Elephas maximus indicus: one gene and its partners. The protein of the gene in region 1 purifies or fractionates together with the protein of each later gene. This does not show direct contact. Links are inferred from orthologs where the notes say so. Each region holds a gene or a part of one and is shown in the gene's direction. Other genes may lie near its edges. The genes, in order: STK40, COP1 and TRIB1.

Region 1 (7,277 bases):
ACGTGAACATCACCGCCACCATCGAGCAGCAGCTGCAGATCATCCATCGGGTGCGCAACTTTGGTGGCCAGGGCAGGCAGGAATTTCCCTCCAAAAACTATAAGTGAGGCTGCTCCCTCAGCACGTCCCACCCCCGACTCAGGTTCCGACTGAGTTCTACTGAGCCAACTCCCTGCCATTCCTCCCTGCCCTGAGCCTGAGGAGGGAGCAGGGCCAGCCCAGAGACCGGTGTTGGACAGACACCTCCTGTCACAGCTGCCTTTCACAGAGTTCTACCTCCCAGACTCAACCTGGAACCCAGAATCTAATTTATCTCTTTGTGGCCTTGGGATAAGTGACAAGCCCCTCTTTTGATCGTTTGCATCTGAATTCCTGATTTACTGATTTAGGTAGTCTGTCGAATAGTTTTCATTTCAACCCTCTGCCATGAGGATTATTAAATATACTCAGCCTGAGCCACCCATAACTGTCCCCTTTTCTCTTGCAGTTGTGTTCATATTCTCATAAGACCAAACTTGGATACAAATAAGTCCATGACTCATGCTTTCCCTGCTGAGTGTGGGGCTCCCTGCCTTTCCTGTGCAGTAGGACACTGGCTTTCAAACTAAGATGCGCATGGCATCACCTGGGGAGCTTTAAAAGAAACTGAGGCTTGGGTCCCACCCTCTGATTTTTTGATTTAGTTGGCTGGGGCATTGGGATGTTTTTAAAGTTCCCCCAGGTGATTCTAATATGCAGCAAAGTTTGAGAACTGTTGTAGGAGAGTACCTCAGTCTGGTCAGGTGGGAAGTGGCTGTTCGCTTCAGACCCCCTGTGGAGGAGGCTTTTGGTCTCATTTCTGTTTCCTGAGGTGGAGAGAGTGAAGTATCCTAAACCCTCACCTCAGATGTGGGGGCTCAGCCAACAGCAAGAAATTAGTCTCAGATTCTGAAGAGTCCTTGGTTCCTCGAGGAAGAGGGAGGGGGTTGTGGGGATAAGAACCCAAGTCTCTGTTGTAGCTATCTTGTAGACATTTCTGTGGAGTTATACTCTACAGTTATACTCTGACACACATGAGGTCACATGAGTCGGAGTTGACTCTTCAGCGACTAGTTGATTAGGTTAGTTAAGCCCTGTTTACCCAAATGCGGCACACAGCTGTTTCTTCCTGAGGGTCTTGTTACCTCCCTGGCGCTCCACCCAGGAAAAGGAGCACGGTTCCTCCTGCTCTCAGATCCCCTAGACCTAGCTGATGATGTCAGCTAGGAGCCTGAAGAGAAGTTCCTCCATTGTCAGAGACGCCGCCAAGTCTCAGTCGCCCAGATCCAGTGATACACAGTTTTCTAAATTTGTATCTCTGCACAGGGATTCTTTCCATTCCTCCCTGAAGGCTAGGCTTTTGGAATTCAGACGCTAAAAATTGACTCAGTTGTGTTGTGTCATTCCTTTCCTGAAGGCAGGAAAGCAGAATAGACTGCATAAGGAAAGGGCAGAGGGACACCAAAGAAAAGATGAAAGACATTATTTCAACATGTTATGCCCCCACTGGAGTTTGGATTTTGTGCCACTCATTGCCATGGCCTTTGTTCAAGCACACACATATCCCCCTTCCTGCGGCTTCAGCCAGTGTGTGGGTCACAGGAATTCTGAGTGCTCAGGTGGCGTGGAGGAGTTACCCCCACCTCCCCATATACCGCCTTGCCTGGAGAGAGACTACAGGGGTCTCATCTGGGGGAGGGAACTACCACAGCTCCGATGAAGTCCCAGTGGGTCTGCAGCTTGAAGTTCAGATTTCTCCAGAGGCATACAAGGGAACCAGCCACTCCAGCTGTCAGCCTGGAAGAGCTGGATGGAACTTGAGAGACCAGTTCAGTGGTTTCCAGTCTGGCATCCCCAGCTGTAGGGGTCCCCAAGGGCGGCAGGGGTCCCTTGAGTTGTCAGTATTCCAGAAAGACCTAGAAACAGCACCCAAGCTATGATCAAGCTGGCTTATCAGGCCATTTTGGGCTGGAATTATACCAACTTAGTGTGGTGATCAGAAACCCTGGTGGCATAGTGGTTAAGAGCTACAGCTGCTAACCAAAATGTCAGCAGTTAAAATCCACCAGGTGCTCCTTGGAAACCCTATGGGGCAGTTCTATTCGGCCTATAGAGTCGCTATGAATCAGAATTGACTCGACAGCAACAGGTTTTTTTGTTTTTTTTTTTAGTATGGTGGCCACACTGATTTCCTCTTACTGAGCACAAGATCTAATGGCTGTAACACAAGGCTGTCATAAACCAAAAGGAAGAAGTTACTTGATGTAGATTGTATAGGAGACAAAATCTTACCGAATATGAGATTCTCAAGGAGGGAAAATACTACAAGAGGCTTTGAAGGTGAGAAGGTCATCAGTCCACAAAGTTGACTGCCGGGTTGCTCCTCCCTGACTAAAACAGCTACTGCTGGTTGAATCTCACTATGAGCCAGGCCCTGTGCTAGGGGCCTTACATGCCTCACAAGGGCAGAGCTGCTGACTGTTTGGGTATTACTGGATCCCCAGGATCTAGCTCAATGCTCTGCACATAGCAGACACTCCGTAAATCTTTGTGGAATGAAAGAATAATCTCGTTTCATCATTATAACAACCCTGGAGGTGTGTATTAACAACAGTATTTTACAGATGAGCCAGCCGACAGGCTCAGAGATGAAGCAGCTTGCTCAAGGTCATAGAGCCAGTAAGCAGCAGGGTAAGGATTCAAACTGAGGTCTGCCTGATTCCAGACCCCATGATCTTAACTACTACACTATACTATTGTGCCTCCTAGCACTCTTGACATCACACTGATGACAGAGTAAGACAGGAGGTGCCTGCTCACCTCAGTGATGGTACCCAGCCACAGGGTATGGATCTGGCACTCAAAACTTATACCATATCCAGCCCCTGGGGTCTGGGCACAAAGAGGAGCCAGAGACCAGCCAGCAAGTAGGGCTTACTAGGGTTCAGAAGCCTGAGGAAGCCCCTGGAGGTTGAAGGTCTTCTGTGATAGGCAGATCTGCCTGTGCCTCATCAAGCAACCATCTTATGCTGTTGTGACAGGTGTCACTTTGTTATGGCAGCACCGTCTGCCAGTATGCCCAGAGCTGGAGAGCCAGCAGGAAAATATGTCACTGTGTGTGTCTGTGTGTGTGTGTGCATGTCTTAGCAGTCTCCCCATGTTGGTGTCCTGATGACAACTTTACATTTCCTCTGGCTGACGCCTTTACTTTCTATTCATTACCTCTTCTCCTCTCTTCCTCCGCCTCTCCTTTGTTAAAATCCTATATTTTGAATCAGCTGAGAGTCTCCTGGGAGTGGGGATGGTGGTGTCAACCCCGAGTGATTCATCTAGCTGATAATTACAGCTCTGGAAAACCCAGAACTGATTCCTGTCAGAGTCAGGGCTTCCGGAATCCCTAGGCTTTTCCCTTTGTCAGAGAGAGGAATATGATGGGCCGGGACATTGTTATGGCTGTCTTCTGGTCATTCACCTCATTTAAGTTCTGTAACTGAGACGAATGTGAACACTCAGCAGGTACCATGAGAAGCTGCTTCCATAGCTCATGGAATGCTTGCTTGGTCCCATGATGTGTTATCCCTATTTTGACAGGCTGGGAAGAATAGGGAATTTGCACAGTCACCCAGCTTGTAAGTGATGCAGCAAGGATGCACATCCAAGCTTTCTGGAATCTACCAGATTTAGTTCCAGTCATAGCCCTGCCATTATTAGCTGTGTGTCTTTGAACAGGTTACTTTCACTCCCTGAACTGTAGCTCCCTCTTCTATAAACAGACTCCTAATTCCCACCTGGAGATGCCTATGTCTCCAAAGTGCTTCACACAGCATCTGGCACAGCAGCAGGAGCTGTTTCGATTACGGTGTTATCCAGCTCGATCATCTCAGTGGGCACTAGGCATTCAGAGAGACAAATGCACAAAGGCAGAGGCCGCCAGACCTCCCTCACCCCAACTCTCATGTCCTGGCACTACCTGTGTGGCAATGGCAAATGCACATACACATAAGTGCCTGGCCACACGCCCTAGGAAAACTCGGCAGTGCACACAGGCTCAGACACATGTGCCCACACATGGACACAGAATGACCCCGGGGACAGCGAGAAACGCACCCAGGAGCTAGACAGTCATATGCAGCAGGCACCCTGGCTCACACCTCTGAGATAAAAGAGTGGGTCTATGGCCGCGAGTCCTGCTGCCACTGACCCCTTCTAGCTGCTTCTGCATGCCAGGGGAGGGAAGCCGGGCTCTCAGAGGGCCCCAGTGAGTCACCAGCCTGATGCAATCCTTTTAAAGGGCTCATCTGCTGCTGCAAGAAGCTGATTCATGGAGGGCGTGGTTGCTGGAGGAGGAGAAAGGGACCGAAACTGCAGCAGGAGGGACTGAGGTTAGATGACTAGAAGCGTAAATAGGAGCTTTTCATTGTAAACCTCCCTAGTCAAGTCTCCGGGGATCTCCAGGTCGAAGATACCCATTCTCTGGGTTTCTACAAAGGAGAGGGGGCCTAGAAGGGAATGAATTGTGAGGGTTGCGACTGGAATTCCTGTCATTTATTGAACCTAACTGCAGCGCTCTCCGCAGAGCTCCAGAAACCGGTAAAATGGGGATCAAAGAAGAGCCACTTTTCAGATAAATACACTACAATTGGCCATCTTCCAACTGCTCGAGACCTCTCCTACCCCGCCAGGGCGAGTGTAGGGCACACGAGGTTCGGTGGCGTCAGGGCGGGGTCCTTGCTTCCGTTCCCGCCTCACCGCCGGCATAGATGAGCGGTAAGTACCGCCCCTTTAGAGTCTCAGGCTCCAATCGTTTTACAAATTTAGGCCCAGACCCCAGGGTGAACCAATCAGCAATCTGATTCTGGCCTCTTGCCTGAAGGCTTCCGCCCGTCGTCAAGATGGTGGCCGTGGGTTTTTTGTAGACACAGGCAAGGGGGAGGGTTGGGGGCGGGGCTGTGGCTTGGGCCAGAAAGGAGGGTGGCGGTGCGTCACTTCCGTTGTCAGGTGGCGGCGCCGCAGCCATGGAGGGAGGCGGCGGCGGCGGCGGTGGCTGCTCGGGCGGCTGCGCTGGGAGGCGGCGGTGAGCGGCTCCCACGCCCCCGGCCCGGCCCCGGGCCCCCGGCACGGAGCGCCGAGCAGCCCCGGCTCCGGGCTAAGGACTATGGGCGAGCAGCGCTGAGCACCCGGGGAAGGTGAGGTCGGGGGTCGCGAGGTGGGTAGCAGGGAGGGGGTTGGCGGGGCGGGCCTCAGCCGCCGTGGCAAAGGGACCGAGCTGACAGTCCGGGGCTATCCAGATGCGACAGAAATGGCAACAGCGCACGCCTCCTCCTATGCTGGGGGATCTGCCCTTCTTAGGCGGCTGAGGGCAACGGGGGCGGAGGCTGCTGCGCGCCGGGCACGGGGCGGCCGCGGGGAGCCTAGGTCCTTGCCGCAGCCTTGGTAGGTGGGCACTGCCAGTCCTGTCCAGGGACACTCAGCCAGTAAGTGAAAAAACTGAGCCCAGCCAGATTTTTCCCACGAGACACCCCCTGTCTCACCATACTTCCCTTCTGATCCCGAGAGTGACTTGAAACTTAGAACGAATCCCCAGGGAGGGCTAGGGCTTTCTCCAGGAGCACAAGCACCATAGCTGCCGGGGAATTTTCGCATCCTAGGCAGCGTTCAGGTACCAGTCAGAGCTGCCTGCCTGCCAGTGCTACATTTGGCCAGCCTTTTCCAAGGAGAGAGTCTGCTGTGGTCAGTGTTTTTCACCTGCTGTACCCGGGCCGGGCCCGCCCATTCCCACGCCGCTTGGCCCCACCTTGCAGTCCTTAGGTAGGGGCATTCCGATCCCCGATGTCGCGTTCTCTGGGCACCCCCACTCCCCAGGTTTGATGCCTTTTGTTGGCGGAAGGAAGAGATGACAGCCGTCTTCTGTGGTAGGGTAGACCTTGCTCTGTTTTAAGTCATGGGAGGAAACCGGTTGGCTTTGCTTGGTTTTGAGAACCATGGGTAAGAGGGTAGTCACGCTGGGCTGGGCACCTTTCTGTGTTGGCTGAGTAGTTTTGCATGAGATAAGGAAGAGTATAATATGTGACGGACTCTAAGTCATGGTAAATGTAATTGTAGGTCCCAAGAACCTTGTTTGTAAACAGTACTTGTGAGTTCCTCCAGAGCTCCTTAAGGGCCCTGTGGGCCAGTTGTTTGTGGTTTATATCTGGACATTCTGAAAGAAGCCCTCATTCATTCATTCATTCATTCATTTCCCACATGACAACAGGTTACTAAAAGCAGGCTTTGGGGCCAGACTTCCTGAGTTCAAATTGTGGTTCAGCAACTTGGAAGCTGTGTGACCTTGGGCATATTGCTTAACCTCTCTGTGCTTCAGTTTCCCCATTTGTAAAATAGAGTGATAACGTAGAGCTATTATGAAGATGTAAAAAGTTAACACATAAAATACCTAGGACAGTGTCTGCCACATAATAAAAGTTCAAAAAATGTTAGCTTTTTTTTTTTTTAATTTTAGCTATTCTTACTTCAAGGGGCTCATGATCTAGTTAAGGGAGACTGACTTATAAACAAATAATTGAAACGTGTCACAAAAAGCTAGTAGCCGCAGGAGCAAAGGGCTGTGGGAGCCCAGTGAAGGAAACTGCTGGCACAACTTGGAAGGGGGTGAGGGTACTGGGAAGTCTTGGCAGAAGACATGATGCTGGAGCTGAGTCTGGAAGGATAGGAAGGTGTGGCCAGGTGAGAATGGAAGAGCAAGGTATTCTACTTGGAGAGAGAGATAGAAGTAAACTCACAGTTAATTCCAGAAATTTGCAATTGTTCACTGTGATGTATGGAAGTGGGCACAGCATAAGATGAGTCTAGATAGGTTGACACAGGAATGGCACATTAACGATTTGGGACTTTATGCCAAGGCAGTGAGGAGCCAGTGGAGGTTTTAAGCAGAGAATAGAAGTGATGGGAGCCGTGTTTAAGAAAGGTCTCCTTGGAGTCCCAGCAGAGGAGGGAAGGAAGGGGAGAGGTGAGACCAAAGCACTGGAGACCTCTGAGAGAGGTCACTGCAGGCCAATGAGAGGAGAGTTGGTGCTGGGGTGGTGGATCTTTGCTGGGGAAGCACCAATGCCAAGTGACAAGCTCCCTGCATTGGCCTGGGCTTCTCTGCCTGCACAAAGTGCCAGGTGCATGTCCCCTCACTTCCTGGGGTTGCAAGCAGGTGGGGAAGTGAGGCTGCTCTCTCAGGGACCTGGTGGTGGTCTGAGCCAGTATTGGGGGAA
Region 2 (7,217 bases), on another chromosome or scaffold:
GGAGATTTTCATTTTACCAGTAGATTGTGGATTATTTTCTGCTAGACACATTTATATTGTTGGGTTCACAGAAACTTTTCTATTCCTTTCCTGTCCATTCACACTCACAGAAAATGTTTTCTTTTCTCACCAGTTTTTCCATGTCGTGTTTAGTTTATTTCACATCACTAATTTGCTTTAATGGATCAAGCACATTATTATTTTTTTTTTTTAAGAAGAAGCTATTATTCAAAGACTTAGTTATACAGCAAACCCTACAGGTGAGTCAGGCAGACAAAGCTTATTGGGGGGATTGTTTGGTTGGGGTGACAGCCAAAGGGCAGGGCTAGATGGAGGTGGAAAACAGTGACCTTATCTCCCTAAAATATCATACTTGCATAAGGCACCTCAGAAATAGGTCTGGGAAGCTCAATCCTCTTGGTAATTATATTCCACTTTAACTCCATTAGATTTTACTTCAGTATAAGTGTTTTTGCTAGAAGACTTTGGATTTTGTTTTCATTGCTATTTTTGTGGTTCATGGGATAAAATTCCTTTGACTATTCAGACTTAGCTTTTATTATGCACTTACTTTCATCTTTTATTAATTTTTTTCTTTTTTCCTATTCTCTACTTCATAGCAACGACTGTGAGGATGGTGCAGGACCAGGCAGTGTTTCCTTCTGTTGTACATGAGGACACTATGAGTCAGAGCTGACTCGACGGCACCGGCCAACAATTTATTTCTCTTCTCATATTTTGAGTTGCCTGACTTCCTTCTTTGTGTATGTTTTGTCATGCTTCCTCTTCTGTTTTCCCAGAAGATCTTGCCAGTAGAAACTAGGAAGGCCTGTGTATTCTCAGAACACAGTCTTTATACATTTATCTGGTAAAAAAAAGGAAATGCCACTGTATCACATCCCATTTCCTTTTGTGAATTTACTGAAAATAGGTTCCCAAGAGGTAATACCAAGCACTGAAGATTTTTTCCTGGGAGACTTCTCAGTTGGGGCCATATTACTTTTAGGCACCTAAGCTACCTGGATAGAAGACTACTTCACATTATTTCTCTTATACCTCCCACAGAATAAAGCACAATGTTTCTCAGAGTTGGTCACTCACGTCAGATTCACCTGAGTGCTGGTAAAAGTCCATATTCTTAGGCCCTTACAATGAGTCAGAATTGACTCGATGGCAAAGGGTATTTCAGGCCTATTAATCAGAATCTTTTTGGGGTGGAACTTAGAAATCCACAGTTTTTAACAAACTCTCTACATGATTCTTTTTTGCAGCATAGTTTAAGACTCATGGGTGTAGTAACATGCACAGCAAGTGACAGGCCCTTAATAACTCTTTGATTATAGATATATTATCCCCTTACTAATTTCCAAATTTCTCAAGTGCTGAAATTTCTCTTTGGCCCAGCCCTGCATTTTTAATCATTGCCCGGATATGCTTAGTAAATGTTTTTTCCACCCTCATTCAACATACCCAAAACTAAACCATCTGCCAGATGTCTCGAATTCTGTCATCATGCTATGGTTATCCCAAGAGTCATCTCTGGAGTCATTCCTTACTCTTTGTGCTCCATCTTTTTTACTTAATCAACATACTATGCATGTGGGAAAGACAGTGATGAACATGACAGACATAGGTCATGTCCTCAAGGAGCTTAAAGATTCTTTTGCAGAGAGTAATTTATTCCTAAATTCTTTAGTGTTTTTCTCAGATACTCCCTTGCTTTCCTTGCCACCACCCTCATCTAGAATCTCATCACTTAGGCTCAGACTGATAATGTTTTCTTAGTCTGTTTGCTCTGAATCTTTCAGCTCTTCTGAAAGATTAATCTTCTGAAAGCTTATTCTTTAACACTTTGAATATATTCCCTACGCTTACCCTGCCGGATACCTTCACTGTTTCCAATTGCCTTATAGGATATGCCCAAAACTGGATTTCAACCTTTTTACAATCTTGTTCCCAAATGAAGTTCTCCCAAATAAACTCTTCTACCCCTATGAAATAGATAACTGAACTTGATGTAAGCATTTTTACTGATTATTTTCTGGGTTCATGACTTCAATTATACTTTCTGCTTGATCAAACCATACTTTTCTCTTAAAGCCTAATTCCTTCCCTCATCAACATGGCTGGTCTTCAGTACTTGCTCTTGCTTCAGCTCCTATTGGATTTTTATCCATTATGCATTAAGCATGTGTTCCTTGGCATCATCATCTAGCTTTTTAAAATCCATTTCTGTAAGTCCTCAATTATTCCATAAGCTTGTTTTATAGACTTCTCTATCTCTTCCTGAGGAGCCCTGGTAGCTCAGTGGTTAAGCACTTGGCTGCTAATTGAAAGGTCAGGGAGAAAGATGTGGCAGTCTGCTTCCATAAAGATTTACAGCCTTAGAAACCCTATGGGCCAGTTCTACTCTGTCCTATAGGGTTGCTATGAGTCAAAATCTACTCCATGGCAACAGGTGTGGTTTTGTCTCTTCCTTGGTTAGCCCATGCCTTCCCGTACTAAGCATTCAATGAATTTTCATCAAATTATGTTCATCTATTTATGCTTTCCTTCACCAAACACCGAATGCCTCAAACAGACCAATATGGCCTTGTTTTCACGAAACTTAACAATTTAGTTAGACAGACAAACATTTAAGAAATAATTAAAATAAAAATGAGATCATTGGCTTTATTCATTTATTAGTCAACAAACAATAAGCACCAGGCATGGTGTAACATGTTGGAAATACAAAGAAAGTTGTGGTTGACAGGCTAGTGGAGAATAACACATAAACAATTAAAATACAATTATATAAGTACAAACAATCATAGGAGCACAAAAGACGGCTCAACTATCTCTGCTAAGGATAGAGTCAGGGAAGGCTTCACATTTCAGCTGTGTCTAGAAAATAGTTTGAAACAAGAGTTGGATGAGGCAATGTTCTTGCAAGGAGGTTCTTGGAAATCTGATAAATCCATTCCTATACCATCATTCTAAGCAGAAACTTGAGGTAAACCCAAGGTGGGAATACCAAGGTGAACAGCTAAGGCAGAGTGAAGAGGGTGGCAACCTTATGAAAGTTCACTGCCCAGCTGGGTGGCTAAATCCGAGTTTCTGGGCCTTCACTCAAGCCCCTCTGTGACCTAGCCCCCTTACATACATTGATGTCCTTCAGAAAAGTTCCTTGCTTTCCCTATAGGCTTCTTCAACACTCAGGACAAAACTAAATCAGATCCTTTCCTCTAAGAATCACAGAATGATGGAGACGGAAAAGATACTGAAAATCACCCAGTTCAGCTGTTTCTAACTTACATACATCCCCAAGAACCTTAGGGATTCTCAAAGTGGTAAACGAAACTCTGTAGGCAATTTTCAATATTCCAAAAGGTTTAACAGAAATTGCATATTTTCCGGTGGTATCGAATATTGTGTTTCCTTGTTTTGTGATAGAATGATATCAATTCCACATTAAACTGAGGTTTGACTGACCTGTCTTCCGATTGAGTATAATCTGTTTTCCTATTATGTCACACCCAACTTAGTAAACAACGTTTAAAATAAGCTCATGGTCAAACTGGTAAAACTTGCTACACTCTTCACTGACTTCACCTTTATTTAATTCTCACAACACTGTAGAATGGCTCAATAACAGCAGAGCCTGGAAACCTTGACTCTCAGTCCAGGGTTCTTTCGAACTGCGCGGTGCTTCCAGGTTCCTTCCGTTTGTCCCCAGTCTACAGCACCTTCAATCCCTGATCGAGAAGCACCTGTCGTGCTCTTGCTATTGGGTCACCCATCCGCCTCTCAGGAGACAGGGATCGCTCCCTCTTCACACTCAGGAACGCGGTTCGCTCCCACGCATGCGTATATCACGCTCTTCCTCGCCTGGAACGGAGACCCTAGCTAGCTCGCGAGGGTGGGCGCCCAGGGCGCGCGTATGCAGTCGTTTTGTGAGCGGCTCTCTTCTCCTGCCCCCGCTCCCCGTCCACCAAACCACCAATCCTACCGTTCATTTTACTCTCCTCCGCCCTTTCACTCCATTAAGACTGCCTACCCTTCCGTACGTCACCAGCGAAAACAGCTCCCGCCCAGGGCTCCTCTGGTTGCTAAGCCGCCGCCGTCGCCGTTCGTGCACGAGCACCGCCCGGGCGGCGTAGAAAGTTGTATCCCCCGCCGCTCCCGCCCCTTCCGCCGCTCGCGCGCGCGCGCGCGCGCACGACCTGCCCACGGCGCGCAGGGGTTGGCGGCGGCGGCGGCCTCGAGAGCGGTAGTGGTTTCTACTCCCCTTTATTAGTTTCCTCCGCCCCCTCCCGTCGGACACCGTTGTGTGGATGCCTTAAGAAAAAAATCAACTTTATTGTTCCTCAGCCCCACCTCCCGGCGCGGCGCGCGTCCTCGGGATGCACTGAGACTGAGGGAGGGGAGGCGGCGGTGGGTCGTGTCTGGGTCCCTCTCCTCCGAGCGCCGTGCCGGGGGGGAGGGAGTCACGATGTCAGGTAGCCGCCCGGCCGGATCGGGCTCCGCTGGGACGAGCCCTGGCTCCTCGGCGGCCTCCTCGGTGACTTCCGCCTCCTCGTCCTTATCCTCTTCCCCGTCGCCCCCTTCCGTGGCGGCTTCGGCGGCGGCGCTGGTGTCCGGCGGAGCGGCCCAGGCCGCGGGCTCGGGCGGCCTCGGGGGCCCGGTGCGGCCTGTGCTGGTGGCGGCCGCGGCGTCGGGCAGCGGCGGCGGGGCGGTGTCCGTGGGCCCGTCCCGGCTCAGCTGCGCGGCCAGGCCCAGCCCCGGCGTAGGTGGGAGCAGCTCCAGCCTAGGCAGCGGCAGCAGGAAGCGACCTCTGCCCACCCCGCTCTGCAACGGGCTCATCAACTCCTATGAAGACAAAAGCAACGACTTCGTCTGGTAGGTTTGAATAACACCCCGCACCCCTTGCCCCCTGTGTGTTACGAGTTCCTGCTGGTTAGGCTGGTGGGGTCCAGTGTGAGGGTGGCCTGTGTAAGAGCTTGGATACTGGTTTTGTTCTGAAGTCAGCGTTTCCGAGATTCGAACTTGTAGCGGTGGTGGGGGTGGGGGGGTGGTAAGGACGGAGGGGAGGAGTGAGGAGATGTTGAAGTCCCAAGGCAGGTTGGGGGTAGTGAAGAGGTGAGCAGTGGTGGGGAGGAAGTGAGAGGAATTTAAGGCATAATAAATAGGATGGGGAGATGGAGCATCGAATAATGTTGTGGATAAAGAAGAAAGTTGGGTAAGAAGGTTGGGCCTTGCATTTTCTGGCTGTCTGGCGTTTTAGGCACCCAAAAATCAATCCGATTACTTGTTGAGGTGAATTAAATTTGTGAAGAGGGTGAAGCTTCCTGGGATGCTGAGGGATGGCGTTGCTGGTCAGGATTTGCTTACTGGCGGTATGGTGCATGGTGCTGTAAACACGGGTAAGGATGTTTTAAGGGGAAGTAGTATTTAAGTATCAGTTGTGTGTGTACATGTGTATTTAAATATATCTCGTCTCACATTTCAAAGTGTAGGCCACTTTTATATCTGCTGTAGTCAAAGTCTATTCACAAAATATTCAATTTCTCAATCGAATATCTTCAAGAGGGAACCACATTTAGTAAACATCATCGGTGTGTTAATTACAGTTGTATTACACTCGTATAACGCATTAGAGTATACTGGAGCTTCTGATTTGAGAAACGCTAGGTATTAGAGATTTTGCCATCATAGTTGGCATCTTGAATGACACAGTACTATTCAGTCATGAGATTTGGCATAGACGGGCTAGCCATATGAAGTTGACTTGCTGAAAGTGTTTTGGGATTTTTATTGGGTTTTGGATATTATTGGTTGGATTATGAGAAAGGAATTAGCTGAGTAGAAACTGGTGGGGTTTTGTGCTTTTCTTTTGGAGGAAATTGATAGATTTCCTTAAGAGATTATGTTGTAGAAAGTTGGCTTGCACTAACATTATGGGGATGATCTGGGTTGGTGTCATTAAGTATGATAGGGGAATAAGTTGGAACTGCTAGGGAAGCTGTTGATTAGATATACAGTTTATGACTCTTGCAGAAAAATAATACTGTCTTTATTCATATTTCTGCTTTTCTTTTAAATTATTTTGGATTCAGAATTATTTCATTTTTCGTTGAACCTGGGCTATAATTGTGAATGATAGTTATGAATAATTTTAGCAGTTTATGATTGGATCTAAGAGGTGTTTGCCTTCATACTCAGTAGAGAGGAGCCTTGGTGGCATAATGGTTAAGAGCTCGGCTGCTAACCAAAAGGCTGGCAGTTTGAATCCATCACCTGCTCCTTTGGAAACCCTGTGGGGCAGTTCTACTCTGTCTTGTACGGTTGCTATGAGTCGGAATCGACTTGACGGAAGTGGGTTTTTTTTTATTTTGTTTTTAGAGAGTGCCACGTGGTAAGGTAGAAGCTAGTAAAATAAAGTGGAGGGTTTGCAGAATTTAGTCTTTTTGCTACCATTTCAATTTTCAGTAGACTGAAAAGAAAACAAACGCATCAGCATCCATATAAAAAACCAAACCCAACCCCATTGCCGTTGAGTTGATTTTGGCTCATTGCAACCCTGTAGGACAGTAGAACTGTCCCATGAGGCTTCCAAGGATTGGCTGCTGTATTCAAACTGCCGACCTTTTGATTAGCAGCTGAGCGCTTAACCATTGTGCCACCAGAGCTTCCAGCATCCATATAAAAAAAAAAAATAGGTATACTAAAACAGGGTAAAAGATGTGAGAGGTAAGGGAATTATTCATTCATTTAACAAATACTTACTTAATACTCACTGTCTGCCAGGCACCATGTGAGTTTCAGTGTGCTATAGGCTATTTTATAGGGAATTGGAGAGGGTGGGGAGCACTGGTTGCTCAGTGGTTAAGCTCTTGGTGCTAACCAGTGGTTTGAACCTACCAGCTGCTCTGCGGGAGAAAGATGTAGCAGTCTGCTCCTGTAAAGATTTACAGCCTTGGAAACCCTGTTGGGCAGTTTACCTCTGTCCTGTAGGGTCACCTTGAGTTGGAATCAACTTGACGGCAGTGGGTTTGGTTTGGGTTTGGAAAGGGTAGAAACAGTTTAAGCAGCTGGCACTTTTTTTTTTTTTTGAAACAAGATTATTAAAATTTTTATTAGCCCATCACCTAATTTAAAAATTTCAGTCTAGTCTCTTGAGTTCTAATCATGCTGCTTAAATTATTCTGTTTTCGTTTATACTGTAGTGTGGAAGT
Region 3 (7,927 bases), on another chromosome or scaffold:
GAAGGAAAGGAAGAAAGAATGGAAGGATAAAAAGGAAGGAAGAGAAAGAACAAACGAATGAATGAATGAACAAAAGAAAGGTTGAAAGAAAGAAAAATGAGGTCCATGGAGGAGAAGTGAGCTGCCTAATTCACACGGTGAGCTAATGGCAGGGCCAGGACTTGAACTCAGGTCTTTTGTCTCAAAGGCCTGTGCCCTTTCCACTGGCAATAAAACTAGTGCCTCACATGCATACAAAGCATCACAGTTGACAAAATGATTTTCACCCGTATGAGGCACCCCATGCTGCCTTCCATCCTCCAGCCCCCTCCCAGCCTACAGCGGATGTGGAGAAAGCAGGTGACTGGCCAGGTACCCAGTGGTTAGAGACCTAGCCAGTGGGAGTGAGGAGAGTTCCAACCCAAGCAGGGGAGAGGGCTGGTCTTTGTCCAGGTGCTAGAAGAGGAATTAAGGCAACAGCGAACCAGATGCCAATGGACAGGGAGAACTCACAGAATGAAAGCTGCAGCAGGTGACTTAGAAGAAGGTGAGGAGTGTCTCGCCATTTGACCCAAGGCAGGTATGGAGCTGTGCTTGTCACTGGACCCAGGGCACCCCAGATTCATCCCTGAGAAGCTTCCAGTTCGGCCACCCCAGCAAGTGCGTGCAAGCACAGGATGGGCCACCAATGAAGACAGGTAATAGATCATCCACGGCCCTGCCAAGGCCACCTCCTCTGTGATGTCTTCCCTGATCCTTCCTTCCTCCCCCTGCCGCGTTATCCTCTCCCTTTTCTAGGCATTGGATTCTAATTGCGTGTCTACCTTTCTGTTAATTCTGCCTGCCCCTCTGTGGCTCCTTCCTTGAAGGGCATGGACTGTGCTGATTACAGATCAGGTCAAGAGGAGCAGTGGGCATGTAAGGAGGTGGGACAGAGGGTCTAGATAATGTGCCCAGGAATTTTTCATGGGAGTTCAGTAGCTCCCTTAGACCTGGGCCATTCAGGGCCTTACCCTGGCCCTCCTTCTGGCCACATCTACCCCCTTGGAGTGGGGAGTATGCAGGGGGAAGAAGGCTTGCCTTCCTAGACTGCACCTGCCCTTCTAGAACAAATCCTAGGTACCCAGGACCCCAGAATTCCCTATCCCAAAGGCCTGGAACCTGTTTCCTGAGCTCAGGGGGTCTCTTTCCCGGGTCCATCTTTCCAAGGTGACCTGCTGTCACTGCTATGTGCACTTCTAGGCCTGTGGGTGGTCAAGGAAGGGCCCAGGTACAGTGACTGTCGGGGGTGTGGATGGAGTTGGGATATGTTAGCTGGGATGTCCAAGGCTATGCCCTGGAGGCCCTTCATGGGGAGGACGGGGAAGAGAAGAGGAGTCACGTCTCCACAAATGTTAGGGGAAGACCTCTGGGAATCTAAGGCTTCCTGTGCTCTTAAAAGACTTATTTTTTGGATAGAATTTCTCTTTATTGGAAGACCTGTTGTTATGTGCCATTGAGTTGATTTTGACTCATAGTGGCCCTATATGACAGAGTAGAACTGCCTTATAGGGTTTCCCCGTCTGTAATCTTTATGGGAGCAGATCACCAGCTCTTTCCTCTTGTGGAGCAGCTGGTGGGTTTGAACCACCAACCTTTCGGTTAGCAGCCAAGCTCTTAGCCATCGTGCCATCACGGCTCCTTACTGGGAGATTAGGATAGTGCATAAAGTAGGAAGAGCGAAGTTTGGAGCCAGCCCGACCAGGGTTCCCATTCTAACTGCCACGTTCTAGCTGTGTGAACTTAGACAAGCTAATCAACTTCTCTGAGCCAGTTTGGGCATCTGTACAAATGGTGGCAATAATAACTATTTTGTGAAATTTTATTGAACATTAAACAAGAGAATATGAAAGGGTCTAGCATATGGTACTGAGCCCTGGCAGCACAGTGGTTAAGAGCTCAGCTACGAACCAAAAGGTTGGCAGTTTGAATCACCAGCAGCTCCTTCAAACACTACGGGGCAGTTCTACTCTGTCCTATAGGGTCGCTATGAGTGGGAACCGACTCCATGGCAATGGGTTTGTTTTGTTTTGTTTTGTTTTTGGTTTAGCTTATGGTAGGAGTCCGTGAGTGACATAAATGCTTAGTGCGCTCGCTGCTAACTGAAAGATTTGCCAGTCGAGTCCACCCAGAGGTACCTCGGAGGCCTGGTGAGCCTCTGCCGAAAGAACAGCCACTGAAAACTCTGTGGCCCACAGGAACGCACAGGGGCTGCTGGGCGTCAGAGTCGGCTCTACAGCAACAGGCTTGGTTCTGGTTTAGCAGATGGCGGGAAATCAACAAATGTTTCTTTCCTAACTTTCAAAATCATCTTAAATACCCATATTGTCTTGGCTAGATATGTTTCCCTTTTTTTTTTTCTTTCTTTTTTTTGGTCATTTGTTTAGAATTTAGGGTCAAGGAACAAAATGTACTTGGCGCACAGTACTCATTATGTGTGGCTGCAAAACCTTGTGTTCTTTGAAGCAGAGAAATGGAAACCTGTGAACCCTGGAAGCTATGAGAAAGTTCCCTGAGTTTAGAATGTGTAAAATGCTTACAGCCTTCCTAATCTTGCTGCCATGCACCTACCTGGCACGTGGGGAAAATGAATTAAGCCCATGCTCATCGGTAGCCCCACCTTGTCCAGAAAAATCACTACAAGTTTCCCCACATTACACAATATATGAGTTCCTGAAAAGGCAGACGCAAATCAGTCTTTCTCCCCAGTTCACCATGTATTGAGCATCCAGTGCCAGCTTGGCATTGTGCTGGGCTCTGTAAGATACACTTACGCACAAATGCACACGCGTGTACACGCACAGACTTGATTTTGGCTTTCAAAGATCCTACAGTCCTACCGGATGCAAACAGTTAATGTGCTGGGCTGCTAACTGAAAAGTTGGTGGTTGGAGTCCACCCGGAGGTGCCTTGGAAGAAAGGCCTGGCAAATCTTTTTTCTGAAAAATCAGGCATTGAAAACCGTGTGGTACAGTTTCACTCTGACACGCATGGGGTGGCCATCAATAGCCATAGTCTCCAAGGTAACTGGTAAGGGTCTTACCAAGTTCTGCTGTAAAGGTACCAAAAGAGCACCTAAGGGAATCATGTGATCAAAAAAAAAAAAAAAAACCACCCCAAACCCTGTTGCCAGCAAGTCCATTCCCAACTGCCACACAGGGTTTCCAAGGCTGAAATCTTTACCGAAGTGGACTGCCATATCTTTTCCCCAGTGGAGTGGCTAGTAGGTTCCAACCGCCAACGTTTCGGTTAGTAGTGGAGTGCTTAACCACTGCACCACCAGGGCTCCTTTTAAACTAGTGGGCAGCTAACAACAAAACTTACTAGCTATTTGTCCAGTCCAGGTTACTTAATCTTTCTAAGCTTCAGTGTCTGCTAACCCAAAGGTCGCAGGGCCTCCATGGGAGAAAAGAGCTGGCCATCTGTTTCCGTAAAGATTACAGCCTAGGAAACCCTATGGGGCAGCTCTACTCTGTCACACTGGGTCGCTATGAGCCTAAGGGTTGTTGTTAAGAATGAAGTAATACATGTAAAAGTGTTTGGAGCAGAGCCTGGCACGTAGTAGGCCTCAACTGACATTAAATATTATTACTTGGATTTTCATCTTCTAATCTCCAGTGTCCAGCTTAATTAGTGATTGCTGAATGAAGGGAGGATTAATATAGAAAGGAATTTATCCTTGGTGCTTGACCTGGTTTTAGAAAATTAAGTAGTTAGCAGCAGAAGTGCAAGGGCTCTATGATAATAGTTATCTATGCTGAGCGTCCAGGGACTGCAAACTGACCTGGTTCTCTTAAAGAAAAACGACAAATTCCAAGCTTTTTTCCTGGACTTTTGTGCAGGCTCTGGCACATATCTGGTGCACGATGAAATCACTTTGCACGGATGCACCCACACGGCCTGGCAGGGTTGCCCCCGTGCAGACAACATCGCGGCGGTGGTCAGAATGATTCCTACTCCGTACCCACCCACCCCAGGGCCGGGGCTGGTACGGGGGCCCCAGACCCTGTGGCGCGTGGGGAGGCCGAGGAAGGGGCAGGGATCCGGCAGCGGCCACGTGGGCCCCTTCCGCCAGCTCCCCACATCCTTTGTTTCCCACCGGCCCTGGCTCAGGAAGCTCTTTCAGCGAGTCACCGCGAAGGGGCGGCCCGGGAGCCGGGAGAAGCTATTTCCGTGCAATCCCGGCGGGCGGCAGGAGCGGGAGGGGCGTGGAGGTGGAGGCAGCGCAGAAGGCCCTGTGTTTGCTTTTATTTCATCCAACAGAAGGTTCTATTTGTGGAAGCGAACAGACGCTGGGGATTAGAGATGGGAGGGGGCAGGAAAAGGGGGAAAAAAAAAAAGCCACATCTACTACCACGCACAGGTCTTCCCCGGAACTACCGCGTGGGGGTGAATGACTGATTCTGGAATTTAACACCTTCCCCAGCCCGCCCCTTCCTCGGGCTGCAGCCGGGCGTCGGCGGCGCCTACGGCTCCAAGCGGAGCTCCCGAGGCGCTGGGCGGTGGGGGTATCCCCGGGGCTAAAGGCGTAACCACTGGGCTGCAACAGCCGCGGGTGCAGAGAACCGTGGTGCGCGCGCCCTTCCGCCGGGCTCGGGGACTCGCGCGCCCGCCTTGCTCCGCAGCCCATTGTGCTCGGTGTGAATGGGGCGCGCGCACCAATCCGCGGCCGCCTCACCCCCTGCGCCCCGCCCCTCCCGCCCACTTCCCGGGACCCTGACGTCACAGGGACGTTTCCTTGGCCCCCTCCTCCGGCTTCTAGTGCGGAGCCGGCCCCCTGCCGAGTGCGCGCGCCGCCTCCAGGCCAGCCCAGCCCAGCCCCGGGGGCGTGTGCGCGCGCCCAAGCCGGGCCGGACGCACCACCTGCGCCCGAGCACGCTGCCCAGAGCATCCCCTGTCCCGGGCTCCCCCCATCCCCCGCGCCGGCCCAGCTCCACCTCCTATGCTCCCCCCTCCGCTCCGGTGATTGCTAGCCGGGCGGCAGGGTCGGAGTCGTCGCTGCCACCTCATTGCACAACCCGGCTTCCCAACTGTTTACACAGCCCGGTCTGTGAGTGTGTGTGTATACAGCGTGAGTCACCGGGAGGCGGAGGAGGTGGAGGAAAAGAAGGAGGCGTGCACTGGCCGGGATCGGTGCGGCGACACACTCACTCACACTCAGTCACTCTCTCCGAGCGCGTCTCGCTAGCTCACACGCCAGGAGCCCAGGAGCGCACAGGATCCGGAGCCCCGCGGAAAAGTTGCTCCAGCTTGGCTCCGAGACTTTTTGCTTTGGGAAGTACATTGGATCCGAGGCTTATCGGATCCCGCGGAATCCTGTACCTCGCGGCTCGGGACCCAGGGAACGCCAGCCACCGCCTCTGTCTCCCGGACTGTTCGCAGCCGCGGCAATAATAACGGCGGCCGTCCCCGGCCAGGCGCCCGGAGCCGGTGCCCGTGGGGATCCGGGGAACCGAACCGGCCTTCACCCCCTGGACGCGCGGCCAGCGTGGTCTCCGCGTGCACCGCGAGCTCCAGGGAGGGACTTCTGCTCTAATCCCCGTGAGGGCAGAGCCAAGCCCGGGCTGTATACTCTGTCCCGCGAGCTGGAAGAAGTCGCGGCGCCGAGCCCGCAGCGCCTTCCCGCGCGGGTCGCCGGACGCACAAAGCCGGCGCCGCCTCGGCCCGGGACGGGATGCGGGCCGGCCCCGTGCGCTCGGCCATGAGCGGCGCCGCGCAGTCCCGCAGCCCGGTCCTACTTCTCCCGGGCGCCCGGGGCACCCCGGCCAAGCGCCTGCTGGATGCAGACGACGCGGCAGCCGTGGCGGCCAAGTGCCCGCGCCTCTCCGAGTGCTCGAATCCCCCCGACTACCTCAGCCCTCCCGGCTCGCCCTGCAGCCCGCAGCCCCCGCCTGCCGTGCCGGGCGCCGGCGGCAGCTCTGGGAGCGCGCCGGGGCCCAGCCGCATCGCTGACTACCTGCTGCTGCCCCTGGCCGAGCGCGAGCATGTGTCGCGGGCGCTGTGTATCCACACCGGCCGAGAGCTGCGCTGCAAGGTAGGCGCCTGGGGACCAGGATCCAGCGGGGGGCTGGGGGGCGTGGAGGCGGGCAGAGGGGCTTGGGACGCCGCAGGTACTACCAAGGCTTGGGGCAGGGCGAATAAGTGGGTCAAGTGCGGTAAGGCGGTATGTGACTGGGTCATCCTTTTGGGAGAAAGAGGGGTCGTGGTATAAGGGGGGCTCGGCGGCGAAAAGTGCAGCCCTCAATTGTTTTATCGCTATATTCCTTTCCTTGGCGCCCAGCTCAGCGCGTGGCGTTCCATATAAGTTGTGGAATTGAAATGAATTCCAGGGCCATGCCATTCCCCTTCCCTCATTCTCCTGCTCCCCCCCCCCCCCGCCTCCTTGTCCTGGAAAGAGGCCTGCCTTGGGTGCCTCCTCGGAGCTTGAAGCAGCTGGCAACTCCCGGGCCGGGATTTCTAGGCGCCCGGGCTCAGCTGCGGGTGGTAAAGGGTGGAAAGACTGTGTTGGGCTCCCGTCTGGGGGATTCTGGCTTGACCCGCGCTGGGACGAGAACGCCGCCAAGACCGTCCCCGCACTCCCGGGACCTTCTAGCTGGGGCGGGGGGCGAGGGGGCGGGGAGGGACCTTCCCAGAGTAGGACTGTTGGAAACGCTACACCGGCGAGGAACCCTCACTTTTATTCACTTATTTATATCCCGGCCAGCGATCTGCATTTGAACATTAGGGATCCCCATCCCGCAGCAGGAGATACAACTCTTAGAGACAGGGTCCGCGAGATACCACTCTTAGGGACAGGGTCCGCGCTTCCTCCACCAGAGCTCATGGACGCAGGGCATTTCTGCCGCCCACCCTTTGCGATCCTGGCACTCCCCACCCCCCAAGCAGTCCTGAGAGCCTTCACCCGAAAGAGGGGGTCACCCCAAGTTAAAGTCGCTCCGGGTTTTCTGCAATTCACCTGACTCTCCCAGTCCCTGGGCTTGCTGCTGCCACCTACTGTCCGAGGGGAATGAAATTTCAAATGCACGGTCAAGTCCAGTTTAAAAGGGAAAAAAGTCTTATTTTCTGTGTAGCTGAGGCTCAGAGCTGTTTTGGGAAAAGTATGTGTGTGTTTGGGTCTGGGGTGGGGCGAGAGGAGGGGGCGTCGGAGGGATTTTTCTGGCTGGTGCCAGAGCAGCCAGCCCTCAGAGGTGGGGTGGGTCTAGCCATTGTGCAACTCCTTCCAGTTCCTCTGAGCAGATAATAGCTGAATCCAGATGGTGACAACCCGTGTGTCACCGTTTCCAGTAGAGTCTAGGATATGAGTAACCGAACCAAACAAAAGGGCCTTAAAGAGTCCAGCCAGCTTCTTAGAGGAGATACTACCCATTTCCTGTGGGGTGGGGGTTGGGTGGGGAATAAACAAAGGAAAAAAAAGAAATGTTCACAGGATCCCATGCCCCTGCTGTGAGACTCTAACTCAGGGAGGCTTATACCTGAGTCAGACTGCTGACCTTGGTGTCACAGGCTCCCTCTTGCTCCAGCTCATCCCTTCCTCCTGACTGATGACAGAGCTGCCTGTTCTCTGGCCCCTGCCTCCCTGAGGAGGCTGCAGCGTCAGTCACCATGTGTGCCCTTTTTGTGAGCACTTTGGGTCTGCAGGAGGACATGCATTTCCAGAGGCTGATTTCTGTTTCTGGGGACCCCAGGAGGTGCCTTCTATCAGCCACTTTGCAGCCTTGCCTGCAAACAAGGAAGGGCCACAGAGTGTGGGGGCTTTGGGGCTTGCTCTCAGGAGCTGGTGGAAGAGAAACATGTAGATATAGACAGTTCAATCAAACCATCCCTATGAAGGGGGTGACTCTTAAGATGTTTGCTATCCCAGAGTCCTAGGTGTTACCAGTTTTAATGATGTTAGGGGCAACTGGGAGTC

Evidence for each region.
Region 2: the proteins of STK40 (region 1) and COP1 purify together in Homo sapiens (affinity purification with mass spectrometry; 3 studies listed by BioGRID and IntAct, counting the BioPlex papers as one, with this or other methods). This does not show direct contact. The link is inferred for Elephas maximus indicus from reciprocal best matches to the Homo sapiens genes STK40 and COP1.
Region 3: the proteins of STK40 (region 1) and TRIB1 purify together in Homo sapiens (affinity purification with mass spectrometry; 3 studies listed by BioGRID and IntAct, counting the BioPlex papers as one, with this or other methods). This does not show direct contact. The link is inferred for Elephas maximus indicus from reciprocal best matches to the Homo sapiens genes STK40 and TRIB1.

What each region holds. Positions count from the first base shown.
Region 1 is NC_064821.1:77,738,267-77,745,543, reverse strand, and holds the start of STK40 (serine/threonine-protein kinase 40), read left to right. Parts: upstream 1-4,276; 5' UTR 4,277-4,778; coding exon 4,779-4,785; intron 4,786-5,024; exon of another isoform or gene 5,025-5,204; intron 5,205-7,277. Other genes in the region: U7 snRNA-associated Sm-like protein LSm10, read left to right, coding at 1-107. UniProt on the Homo sapiens protein: May be a negative regulator of NF-kappa-B and p53-mediated gene transcription.
Region 2 is NC_064842.1:38,684,313-38,691,529, reverse strand, and holds the start of COP1 (E3 ubiquitin-protein ligase COP1), read left to right. Parts: upstream 1-4,199; 5' UTR 4,200-4,474; coding exon 4,475-4,881; intron 4,882-7,217. UniProt on the Homo sapiens protein: E3 ubiquitin-protein ligase that mediates ubiquitination and subsequent proteasomal degradation of target proteins.
Region 3 is NC_064833.1:17,722,839-17,730,765, reverse strand, and holds the start of TRIB1 (tribbles homolog 1), read left to right. Parts: upstream 1-4,879; 5' UTR 4,880-5,692; coding exon 5,693-6,052; intron 6,053-7,927. UniProt on the Homo sapiens protein: Adapter protein involved in protein degradation by interacting with COP1 ubiquitin ligase. The COP1-binding motif is masked by autoinhibitory interactions with the protein kinase domain.